Ovis aries: one gene and its partner. The protein of the gene in region 2 interacts with the protein of the main gene of each other region in a pairwise test. Links are inferred from orthologs where the notes say so. Each region holds a gene or a part of one and is shown on either strand. Other genes may lie near its edges.

What was found.
Region 1: the proteins of RGS19 (region 2) and GNAZ interact in a two-hybrid assay, tested with the Homo sapiens proteins (2 studies listed by BioGRID). The link is inferred for Ovis aries from reciprocal best matches to the Homo sapiens genes RGS19 and GNAZ.

Annotation. Positions count from the first base shown.
Region 1 is NC_056070.1:71,869,400-71,872,899, forward strand, and holds part of GNAZ (guanine nucleotide-binding protein G(z) subunit alpha), read right to left. Parts: intron 942-3,500; coding exon 597-941; 3' UTR 1-596. UniProt on the Homo sapiens protein: Guanine nucleotide-binding proteins (G proteins) are involved as modulators or transducers in various transmembrane signaling systems.
Region 2 is NC_056066.1:53,493,249-53,501,689, reverse strand, and holds the start of RGS19 (regulator of G-protein signaling 19), read right to left. Parts: upstream 4,393-8,441; 5' UTR 3,725-4,392; intron 2,081-3,724; 5' UTR 1,938-2,080; intron 1,201-1,937; 5' UTR 1,124-1,200; coding exon 1,094-1,123; intron 887-1,093; coding exon 765-886; intron 1-764. Other genes in the region: protein LKAAEAR1, read right to left, coding at 7,911-7,970, 8,058-8,180, 8,306-8,441. UniProt on the Homo sapiens protein: Inhibits signal transduction by increasing the GTPase activity of G protein alpha subunits thereby driving them into their inactive GDP-bound form. Binds to G-alpha subfamily 1 members, with the order G(i)a3 > G(i)a1 > G(o)a >> G(z)a/G(i)a2.

The DNA of each region.
Region 1 (3,500 bases), on a different chromosome or scaffold from region 2:
AGGAGATTTGCCCCCCACTCCGAAAAACAAAGGATATCAGAGGAAAAAAACCAGGGTTCGGTTTTATAAAACGTCCAACTCGTAGGAGAAAAGCGGGAACCCAGCGGGCCGCGCCACGTGGGTCACCGTGCGGCTTGCTGCGTGTCCCCCAAGCGCGTCTGAAAGGGCGGTGAGTGGCTGGAGGGCCAGTCAGTGCTGTGGCCGGCCTGGTGCCCGGTGCCCGCGTGTGCCGGTGGGGGTGGCATGGCTCCGGCCCTGGGTCTCCTCCCGGGGAGCCGGCCGCCCGGCCCTGTGGTCCCCCCGCGCGGAGCGGGGCCGCGTCGGGAAGGCAGAGTGACTTGGCAGGAGGGTCTGGGGACTGGGGGGCGGACTTGGCGACAGCTCCTCAAGCCTTCACGGACCTCGGCCGGGCGGGGAGCCTGCCCGTCTGCGGGGAGTGTGTGTGTGCGCGTGTGTGTGTGCACGCCCAAGTGTGTCTACCTACCTAGCAACCTATCCGTATACAGTCGTGTTTGCAGAGCCTCGGGGGCTGAGGGGGCGGGCTGGGGACGCGTTCCGCCCCCGCCTTCCGCCCCGGGCTGGGCCCCGCCGGCCCCTCAGCAGAGGCCGATGTACTTGAGGTTGTTCTGGATGATGACGTCGGTCACGGCGTCGAACACGAACTGGATGTTGCTGGTGTCCGTGGCGCAGGTGAAGTGTGAGTAGATCTCCTTTGTCTCCTTGTTGCGGTTCAGGTCCTCGAACTGCCGCTGGATGTAGACGGCGGCCTCCTCGTAGGTGTTCTGGCCGCTGTACTCGGGGAAGCACACGGTCAGCGGGGTGCGGCGGATCTTCTGCGCCAGCAGGTCCTTCTTGTTCAGGAAGAGGATGAGGGACGTGCTGACAAACCAGTTGTTGTTGCAGATGGAGTCGAAGAGGCGCAGGCTCTCGGCCATCCGGCTCTGGGGGGAGGGGCGGGGGCGGTCAGCACAGCCGGGCCCCCCCAGGGGCCGCGGACCCCACGCACCTTCAGGGCTGCCGGCAGGGGAACCCCCCCACCCCCGCCACAGGCCAGCCCCTGCCTCCCACGGAAGACCGTCCATGCCACAGCCCCCTGCAGCGAGCATGTGGTCAGCCCTGCCTGCCGAGGGTGGGCCGGTAGGGAGCCTCCATCCCGCCAGGCGTCAGGCCTCACAGAGTCTCAACGTGCAGGAGGCCTCTGTTCCTAAAAGGTGCCAGGGCGGAGCTGGGCCAGCCCAGCCCCTGGTGGCTGAGTGCTCACCTGGTGCCCCACACACAGGAGCCCTCCGCCGCCCCCGAGGAGGTGAGGACGGCCCCCCGGAGCCCCCGTGACTGCAGTGTGGCCCAGGGGGCCCCTTCCACCCCCCCAAGAGAACCAAGGATATGCGTGCAGCCTGCGGGCTCTGGAGGAGCCCAGGGCCTTCACCTGCTCCCCCCTGCCCCCCACAACTGATCTCCTTGCTCCTAAAGGGACACCTGCGGGTGGCGAGCTGCCCTGTGTTTTAAGATGCACAAGGTGAGTGTCCCAAGGGCAGGGCCAGTCTAGAGCTGAGCTGTTGGGTGAAGGACTGTTCTGAGCATGCGCAATGAACAGGGATGCCCTGCTGACCGCCCTCGACCTTATCATCCCCATTCTGCGGATGAAGAAACCGAGGCCGGGAGGGGCCAGAAATGTTCTCCAAGGCCCCCGGGCTCGCTGACCCTCCGGGGCAGTGTGCAGAGCTGCTGGCCCCAGGGTGGGGGTGCCCGGGGCCGCCCTCATCTCCCAGAGGCCTGGCCCTCTCGGACGTACAGGGTCCGATGGTATCAGGGCTGACAAGGCACCCCTCCCCGCCACCCCCTCACCACGGAGACATAGACTCCAGGCCTTGCGCTCCACCTGGGAGGCTGGTCTCCCAAACCCTTCCTGTGCTTTTGTTAGAAAGAGCCTGGTCTCAGGTCTTGGGGAGGGTGTGTGTTGGGGGGGTGATCGTGTGTGTGTGTTGGGGGTGATCGTGTGTTGGGGGGTGATCGTGTGTGTTGGGGGGTGATTGTGTGTTGGGGGTGATCGTGTGTTGGGGGGTGATCGTGTGTGTTGAGGGGTGATCGTGTGTTGGGGGTGACCGTGTGTGTGTTGGGGGTGATTGTGTGTGTTGGGGGGGTGATCCTTCCCCAGACAGAAGCAGGATGCCAGCCCCCAGCATGTCTGAGATCAGGATGGAGTCGCCCTCCCCGTAGCTGGTGGTCCAGGAACACCGCCTGCCACTGGGTGGCAACGAACGCTAATGGGTTCCCGGAAGCCGCGTGGAAAGGACCAGTGGCGGAGCTGTCTGTCATTTCACGGGAATGATGTCTTAATCAGGGTGCTCCCGACCCCAGATCTCACACGTACAATAAACAACAGATGCGGCCAGGGGCACGTATTCACCAATCACCGAGCACACACTTGCCGAGCACGTCTCTGGTTGCGGGCGGGTGCCGGAGCCCAGAGACCGGAGGCCGAGCGGCCAGGGGGCCCTGCGTGTGGCGGGGCTCCAGGGTGGCTGGGCCAGCGCGGGGTGGGGGCAACAGCTGTTGGGATGTCCAGGCATCTGGGCCCTGCTGGGTCACCGGGGTGGGGGGAGACAGGCGGCTCCTGCGTCCAGCCCGCCTGCCGAGGGGTCACTTGGGGCTCTGCTGGTCCGCCCTGCAGTGGTGGGGGGTGGGAACCCGTTGACAGGAGTGCGGTCTGACCAGCCCTGGGCAGGAGGGAACGGGGGCCCGCCCACCCCCACAGGGAGGGTACCTCCCTGGCCAGCTCGCGGGGTCTCTGGCCTCTGGGGGGGAGGCGGAGTGGACATGGAGGGCCAGGGCGTGTGGGCCACTGGCCACCTGTCTGTGGGGGCCCCCAGCACCTCCTCCCACCCCGACAGCCCCTCCAGGGGCCCCGGAAAGCCCGGCCCGTCAGCATCCCCACACCCTCTGCCACTCAAGCTGGCTCCCCTCACACCTCCCCCGCCTCCCTGGGCAGCCAGCATCCTGCTCTGCCAGCCTCCAGCTGTGTGTCAGGCCCGCTGCTCCCCCGGCAAAGGGGGCTCTGTCGGCCGCCCTCCTCCAGAGGTTGGAGGCAGAACGGGACCCCCATGGGAAGCTGAGAGGCCCCGTGCTGGGCACCAGGGCCCGCAGCAGCCATCATGTGCTGACTTGGAGACACAAGGCCAGATGTCCTGGGGCGGGGGGGGGGGGGCACCTGGTGGCCAGGAGGCGGCCCGGCGCTCGCTCGGCTCCTTGGAGCCCAGCATGAGGTCCTGGCCCAGGAGGGCCCCGGGTTGCCTGCTGCAGGACCAGGCTGGGGTGTTTGTTCTCAGGAGCCGTGAACCCAGCTTTTCAGGCGGGGAGGCTGGGCTGCAGGCGTGAATGAGCTCCATTCACCACAGTGCCAGGCACCGAGGGCGCCGAGGGCGGGGGCTGCCAGCGGGGACGCCTGGCGGCACCTGGCTCAGTGGGCTGAACGGGGAGGGTCCATCCAGGGCTGGATGTCG
Region 2 (8,441 bases):
CTCCTGGTCCCTACAGGCAAAGGCTAAGCGGGTCCTAACAGTTCATGGCCTCCCATCCCTAACCCCAGGCAGTTTCTCTGTTTCAGGCCTGGGCTCAGGTCTCAGTTGTTCACTGGTCAGCTGATCCCCACTTGGGTCCCCTCAGCGCTGTCTACTCAACAGCCAAGGACTGAGAACCTGCAAAGGGCCATATGCCTCTGCAATGTACAAAACCGCCAACAGGTTCCCTATGTGCCTAGAAACTAGTTCACCCCCCGAGGCCCAGTGCCTTCCCCCACCCACCAACTGTCCCAGGGCCAGGTCTCTGCTCAAAGCCCCTCCACCTGATGCTGTCTGTAGGACCTGCTTTTGTCTTGTTCTGTTTTAGTTCCCAGGGCCAGTCTGGGCGAGCTTACAGAGACAAGACAGACATACACACCACCCTAGCTTACAGCAGAGATGCACACACATGTGCACGCTAGGTGCCTGCATGTTGCAGTAGACACACACACACCCCTAGTTTAAGTAGACACACATACACAGCTAGCTTACAGTAGATACACACACACACACATGCTTGCACGCCAGGTGCCTGTATGTGGATACCACCTGCACTGACCACTAGTCACCAAGCCCCTGGATAAGTACTGTGGGTGGCAGGGGTACCCTACTTGGAGGTGATGCCTCAAAAGCCTCCTAAGGGCTAAGGACCAGGGTCCTGGATCCTAGGTCTGCTCAGTGTCCACTCCCCACCAGGCATATCAAGCATCCCCAGGCCCACGTACCAAGAGCAGCTGCAACAACAGCACCAGCACAAGCAGCAGGGGTTTCGCCTGGGGGGAGCCGAGGGGGCCGCATCATGACTGGACATCGAGGGGGGCTGGTCCGCCTCCTCTGGCCCTGTTTGCTGGGGGAAGACAGGGCTGCCTCAGCCTCCAGGCAAAGCCCATGGTTACCACCCGCTTTCCAGCCCCAACTGCCCACCGGAGGCCATGCTCCCTCCCAGGGCTATGACCCTTGTGGCCTCCCAGATGTCCATGGGTCTCTGAACTCCTAGTCATGCCCTTAGCCCCCCACCCCCCAAGGGGCAGCGGCCAGGGTGGAGGCAGCCCACCTGCTTCTCAGCCTCAGGTGGGGTGGGCATGGATGGGTGGAGGAGGTTGCCAGGGCTCCGTGGTGCCTATTCCAGGACACCTGTTTCTGTCACCACAGCCTGGGGGTCTGAGAAGAGAGGCCGGGGTTCTCACTGAGAACCTTACACCCGCCCTGGCCGGCACCCTGCCAGGCATTCTGAGTCTCTCCCTACCTGCCTCCCTGGCCTCCCACCTCCACGGACTCTCCTCCGCCTCCCACCTCCCACCTCTAGACTACTCTGCCCAGGCCCAACCCCCACTCTAGTCTACACAGAAGATGTGAGGGGATGGGGATCAGGAAGGAGGAGACCCCAGACAAGCTCTCCACAGGAGGTTCTGGGACACCCCCATCTGCTCCCTCCCTGGGAAGCCGGAAGCAGGGGTTCCTCTTTCTTGGTTTCCGGCTCCTGGCCCCTCCCAGGGGGCTGCAGGCCCCCAGAGTCTGAGTCTGAGTCTGAGGCTCTCAGGGGTGGTGGTAGACATTCAGAACCTCCCTCCCAGGTTTTCCAGGGGATGGGTGGTGGGAGGTGGGGAGGCTGCTTCCCACCAGGAGTTCAGAAGGGCTGCGGGGCCTTGGAGGCCCCCCGCCTACTCCCAGGGACTCCGCAGAGGGAGCAGACCAGGCCTGTGGCACGGAGCACTGGAGTAGGGCTTGGGGCTGAGGCAGGGCGTCCTGAAGGTGCGGGCAGTGCAGCAGGCACAGCCGCCTTCTCAGCCCGGACGCTGGCTCCGCACCCAACCTTCGACTGGCACCTCCGGGTCTCCCAGCCTCCTTTCCCCTCCCCACCCCCAGGCTACGGAAACCGCTGCGGCCCCAGGCCTTGCCGCAGGCGGGCGGTGGCGCGTCTTGCTCCCGGGCGGGTAGGAGCCGCGGGGTCCCTTCCGCTCGGAGCGGCATCGGGGCGAACCTTCCCCTTCTGCAGTGCGGGCGTGCGGAGGGTGCTCAGTCCCACCCGGATGAGCGGCCCCTGTTGGGAACGCAGGGACCGAGGGCGGCCAATCAGGCTCCAGGAGGCAGTTTTGAACGCCTTCCCACCTGCCCTCACCCCACCCCCACCTCGGCCCAGGTGAGGCATCCCGCCCCCTTCCCCGGGGTAGGGGCGGCCCCTGGCGCGTCTGGGGCGCGGACCTTCTGAAACCCCGCCGCGAGAGACTCACGACTTGGTTTCACTTTATTTTCTCATTAAATGAACATTCTCTCAGTTGCTGCCTCCCCCCCCCCCCACGCCCCCCATTCCTCAGCTTTGGCTTTTCAGTGCCTGTTTGGTTCAGTTGGCCTCTTGGGGTCTGCGATGGCAGGAGAGGAAAACGATGTTGCAGGACGGGCCCCAGGACGGTCGCAGGCTGGGCAACCCCGGCGTCCCATCTCCTGGCCAGGTGCTGGTGCCCAGGGATGACAGCCCGAGACATGCACGCTGAGGGCACCCCTGTCTCCAGAGTCTGAGCATGCAGAGGCCCCTGCCCTGACCCGGATCTGGGGGCCAGGTGGAGGGGCCCATGGGGTCTTGGCCCTTGGCTGCCTGCCTGGCTTCCCCTGGAGCATGGGAAGGTGGACCTTCAAGCTTCCAGCAAACAGACAAGATGGGGAAACAGCAGCCCCACAGCTTGCCTTCCCGCAGGGGTCAAGTTTCTAGGGAAAGGAAGGGGTGTGGCAACCTCTGAGGTCTGGTAGCTGTACCCCAGCCGGGCTGTGACTTCCCCAGGCAGAGCGGCTCTTCCTCCTCAGCATCTCCACCCACTGTGAGTGGGGGCAGGGCCCCAATTCCCCCCACCACCACCCCCTAGCTCCCTGAAGATTAAACTCCCTAGGCTGCCTTCTCCAAATCAGCTCTGAACTGGAGGAGGGGACCTGCCTGAGAGTGCTGCGCCCAGGTGCTGGGGGCTGAGTTGTGGCAGAGATGGGGAGAGGCCGCCCCTCTGCCCTGGTTGTAGGCCCTGGACGTTGTCGCCCACCCCTGAACCTGGCTCCCTGCACCATCCCCAGGCCGGCTGGGACCACTTATGCCTCTGGGGCACCTGCTCTCTCTCCTAGTGGGGTTACAGGATCAGAATCAGGGCTCCTGCCCCTCATCCGGGCATGTGGAAGGGGGCTCCTTCCTCTTCCCCAGCCCCATCCAGGCTTTGGCCCCTAAGTCTAGGATGGGAGAAGCTGGACGGGCAGTAAGTCTGGCCTCTGGGGACAGAGGTTCCCTCGGGAGCAGCTGCTGCTCTGCTCCACAGAAGGAAAAAGAACGTCCCCGAGCCCGCCCAGTCCAAAAAAAGAATAAGAAAATGTGACAATCCCAGGAAAAAATGCCATAACCTTTGTGAGGGGGGTTGCCAGAGGGGCTCCATTCTCTTCTCATCCTCCTCAGCACCTTTCCTGTTTGCTTCGCCCCCGGCCCTCCACCACTGGGCTGGTAGGGACGTCCCAGCCTAGCGGCTCCAAGGCAGGCCAATTTTCCTAGCCCTGGTGACCCTCGCCCCAGCCCACCTCTGCAATGGCAGGGGCAACCCACTTCTCTCTCTCCTTCTCTCGGCTAATAGGGTCTGGCCTGGGGAAGTCTGCCCCTTTCTCCGGCCTCTGACGCCCCCACCCTACCCTCAAGGAACTCGCCACGCGCCCCACTCACCAGCGACCCAAAGGCGAGGTGGGGGCGGGAGGGGCCAGGTCGCTCTGGGCCCCACCCTGGCTGCCGAAGGGGCGTGCACTGCAGCAGCAGGACTCAAGTCAGACGGCAGGAGGTCCTCCTGCGCGTTCTGGAGCGAGGCTGGCGCCAGGAGCCCCCGATCAGCTCGGGCCGGGGGCGCAGCGCCTCCCCTCCGACTGGCGGGGATGACTGACTGCCAGATCCAGCGGGGTGGGGGCGGGGGCAGTACGGGTGTCCCGCCTCGGCCCCTCCCCACCAGGCTGAAGGGGGGACGGGAGACGCGGAAACCTGGGTTCTTCCGGCCCCCCCCCCCCACTTTGAGCAATCACTTCCCCAGGCTTTGAGCTGCAGAAAAAGGGGAACCCGCTTGCAACGCCCCCTCCCCCACGCGCGGGGACTGCATCCAGTCCCGCCGCGGCCCAGGGTCCACGTGGACCCCTCGGCGGGAGTCCTTGGGGCGCGGATCTGGGCGCCGGTTACCGAAGCTCCCGCCCCGCACAGCCCACGGGCCCCGGGCCGGAGGGGCAGGGCTGCCGTCCTGGGCGCCGCGCGCGCGCACTCACCGGCCGCGCTCCCGAGCCGCTCGCGCCTCAGCCGCCGGCCCGCGCGTTCCGAGGTCCGGCCGGATCGTCGGGGAGCGGGCGCAGGCTGCAGTGCGCAGGCGCCTCGGCCGCACTTCCCCAAAGCGCGGGGCCGGGACTTCCTCGCGCGGGGAGGTGCCCGGCCCGGCCCGCCCCGCCCGGCGCGCCCCGCCCCGAGCTCTGCCGGCTCCGCGCCCCACCCGCCCCCTCCCCACCGCTCGCGCGCGGCGTCTGGGTCCCCATTGTCGCTGAGTGGCCCGTGGAGATGAGGTGCTGATGCTGGGGCCTCTGGCTCCCGGAGCGGCTGAAGTGGTACTGCGGCAGCTGGGGGTGTGGCCGTGCCTCCAGCTCTTCTCGGCGGGGCCAGTCCAGCGTTGCCGTTACAGGGGTAGGGGGGTGGAAGGGGGCGACTCCGTGGGCTGCTTGCCCCTCTTGAGGAAGGGAGAGGCGGCTGGAAAGGACTGGACCCCGTGGTCACTCCCGAGCCGTCCCTAGGCTCTGGCACGGAGTATCCTTAGCTGTGAAACGCGGTCAAGGGCGTGCTGTCAGTCACCGTGCTGTAGGGCCTTCCCAAGGAAGGCGGTTCCTGGGCTGCGGCGCCACTGGGGCGGGGTGAGGGGTGGGCAATGGTTCTTATATCCGGGGTCGCCAAAGTCCCTGTCCGCGTGGCCGGCTGAGTCCCTTTCAACCCTTCCAGTTGCCCCAAAATGTTCTAAAGTTTAAAGCCACACTCTCCCCTTTGCCAGGAATGCCTGACTCTTCTCTTTGGCCAAATCTCGTATTTTATGACTCGGTACAGATGTGAGTTAAATTCCTTATCCCAGCATGCTTTGGGCCCGTATTTGGACGGCCCCGACCCTGCTCTGAAAGTGGTCTGCAGAGTGTCTGAGTCCCCTGGCCTCAGAGTGTGTACAGCTCATGTCCCTTGGTCCCTGGGCCTGCTCACAAAATGCCTTCCAGTTGCACAAAGTTGTATATGCTCGCGTTTTTCAGCGCTCTTGGGGATATAAAGGGAAGGGGAGAATTTACATACTGTCTTCATCCTGCAAATGTCTGGGTGTTCTCTACATGTCAGCCTTGGGACCTGGCAGTGGGCAGAACAGACCAGCCATAGAGCAGACAAGAAATGGACTTGCAGACTGGGTGAGAGGTGAGGAGGGCTAAGGAGAACCACAGAGCAGAGAGCGGGTGTTTCAGACCTGCATCTTGCTTGGCAAAGGATAAAACTGGAGCCAGCAGAGAGCTGAGCTGAGCTGGAGAGAGTGCAGGCCAAGGCCAGAGAGGAGGGAGAGGCCCCGAAGGCTGGGGGGCCTCTTATGCTGTGTCCTTGGAGGACTTGGCTGTCATGTTGACAGGCTGGTTGGGCTGGAGCAGAGGCCAGAAGCCTACCCAGATGGGAGGTGGCTGCTTCTTATATAGCCTAGATAACTGTCCCAGGAGGTAAGGCCTTCAAAGATGGGCCAACACTTAGTCCAGGCCAAACAGCCATGCTCATGCTGTGATGCTTGACATGGCATCTCCACCTGCATCCTGAGATGTGTGGGGCAGCTGGATGTGGTGGGGGTAGGCGTATGTCTCTCCTGGGGTAACACTGGGGGTGGGATTTGGACCCAGGACCCTCTGTCTAGAGCATGAGCTCCCAGCCCTGGGGACGCCTCGCCTCCCATCCCAATCCCTTATAGCCTCCAGTCATTGGGTTGTGGCTTGCATGCTTTGCTTTCTCGTAGCAGAAGCCTCCTCCAGGCCCTGCAGCAATGTCCTCGGCTACTTTCCCAGTTATTCTCTCCGGACCAAGGCTGCCTTCATGGTGGGGTGATCAAATTTACCCCCATCCCAGCCCCCACCTGGTGCAGAGCTCAAGGTGAAGGGTGGAGCCTTCACCTGGACGGCTCCTCAGGGCTGTGTGCACCTCTCTCGTCCTCTGCCCTTCAGTGCCTGCCTGTTTAGAGTGACCCCTCTCTTACAGAGCACTCACCTGGGGCCGTGATGCCATGTGAGGTCATTAAGGGTTCCTTTTTAAAGATAAAGAAATGGAGGCTCAGAGGAATGATGAAGTAAAATGTGCTTTGACTAAACAGATGAAATCATTCCAGTGCTTGGCGCTTCCCCCAGAGATGGAATGCTGGGGTTCAGATGCAGGGAGCTTAACCAGGGGAGCCAGGGCCAGCTGGCATCTTGCACGTGTCAGCAGGTAAGTGGCTGTTGCTCTGTCCCATGCCCAAGTCACCCTCTCTCCCTTGTTCCTTATTCTCTCTGCCTACCCACCTGTAGAGAGGTCCCTCCTCTCTCCTGGAGCTTCCAGACTTCAGCTCCACACACAGTTCTGGCTTGGATCAAGGCCAAGGGTGCAACAGCTCAGAACTGGCCAAGTGTCCTGTGTGGGGTTAGGGCTTGCTGGGGACACAGAGGGTTCTGGTCCCCATCCTGAGCCCGGTCAGGGAGGGCAGTGGCTGCCATCGAACAGGACTCCTTGCTGACCCCAGCTCTGGCCTCTGTTGGTAGAGGATGCACCCCTCTAAGACCAGTTCTCTGCTGCAGGTTGGTGACTCTGCTGGAGTCTCCTGGCAGGGGATGGCCTTGTGTGAGATCCCCACCTCTGTGATAACCCGCTGGACTGCTGAGAGGGAGGATAAAGGAGAGCTGGCTAAGAGAAATCCCAGGCTCTGCAAAGAGTCTGTGTTGGGGAGAAAAGTAAATTCTTGAAGGGGAAATCTGTCCAGAAACTAAGGATGTTCTTTGGAATCCAGAGGTTTTGCAGGATATGGGTTTGTCAGAGTGGGACGGGGTGGTGTCCTTCCTGTCCTCTGTATGTGTGTGTGTTCCAGTAAGGGGGAATCAAAGGGGCAAAGAGGGACTCTCAGGATGGAAAGGAAAACGGAGGGTGATTTTCTGTCTGGGTGACTCAATGGACATGAATTTGAGCAAACTCATGGAGATGGTGGAGGACAGAGGAGCCTGGCGTGCTTCAGTCCACAGGGTTGCAAAGAGTCTGACATGACTGAGTGACTCTACAAAAAGAAGCAGAGGTCTGCCTTAAGAGATCTCCCCTTCCCCAGTCTCCCTGTCTTCTGAAGACCCTCCTAGACAGAGCTGACTGTCCAAAGGCCAGCGTTGGCTCTTGCCTAAAGGTCAGCGTTGGTTCTTGCAGTCACTCTCCTTCCCAGAACGTCAGCTTCCTCTCTGACCCTCTGATGGAATGGCCTGTGGTCTAGGAGTCTTGCTTTCTCCCTGAGGTTGCCTTCACTTCTGGGGTTGCAACTCTTGCTCAGCCAGGCTCTTCTTCCTGGCACAGCCAGACTGGAGACCCCCACGAATGCACAGAGCACCAGGTTGCCTGCTGGGAGCAGCATGGGATTTAGGGGGTTAATCTGATGTCCGCCAACTTGCATCTTTCCACTTTGTTAGAGGAGCCGCACCCTGTGTACCCTTATGTCCCGTGACATAGGATGTGGGAGACCCAGCATCCATCCTAACCCCTTCCCTCCGCCAGGGAACTTAGAGAGGGGAAACGTAGAGACCAGGGGGTGGTTGGGAAATGAGACTTTATGTAGGAGGGTGGGGGGCGGTTTTGCGCTGTGGGGTCTCTGTCAACGCGGGAAGATGCTGCCGTGGACTTTCTCCTCCAGGATGGTCTCCACGCGCCTCCTCTGCGGGGGAAGAAGGGCTTGGGCCCGGTGTGCGGGGAGGCGGGCGGGCGGGCCTTGCCTCCCGCCCCTTCCCGGGCTCGCGGGCACCTCTTGCCGGTCCAGGGGGTCTGGGATCCTCGTGGGCTTCAGCTGCGGCGGTAGGAACAGCTCCAGCCGGATGGCGGCGCGCGCGGACCTTTCGCGCTGAATGAGGAGCGAGATCTCCTCCGCCTGCGGGATCGGGATCGGGGTCGGGGCCGGGCTGTTGCGGAGCCTTAGCGACAACGGGTGCCCCGCCTGGCCTGTAGCGCTCCCGTCCAGGCAGTACCCCCGCCCAGGCCCAGTCCCTGCCTCACCCGCATGCGGGCGTAGCGCAGCCGGAGCGCGCGGACACGGCCGCGGGCCTCGGCGGCCTTCAGGACGCCGAGGAGCCGGTCCTGGCGCTGCGCGGGTGGCTCGAGCGGCAGCGTCCACGCACGCGAGTCTGGCATG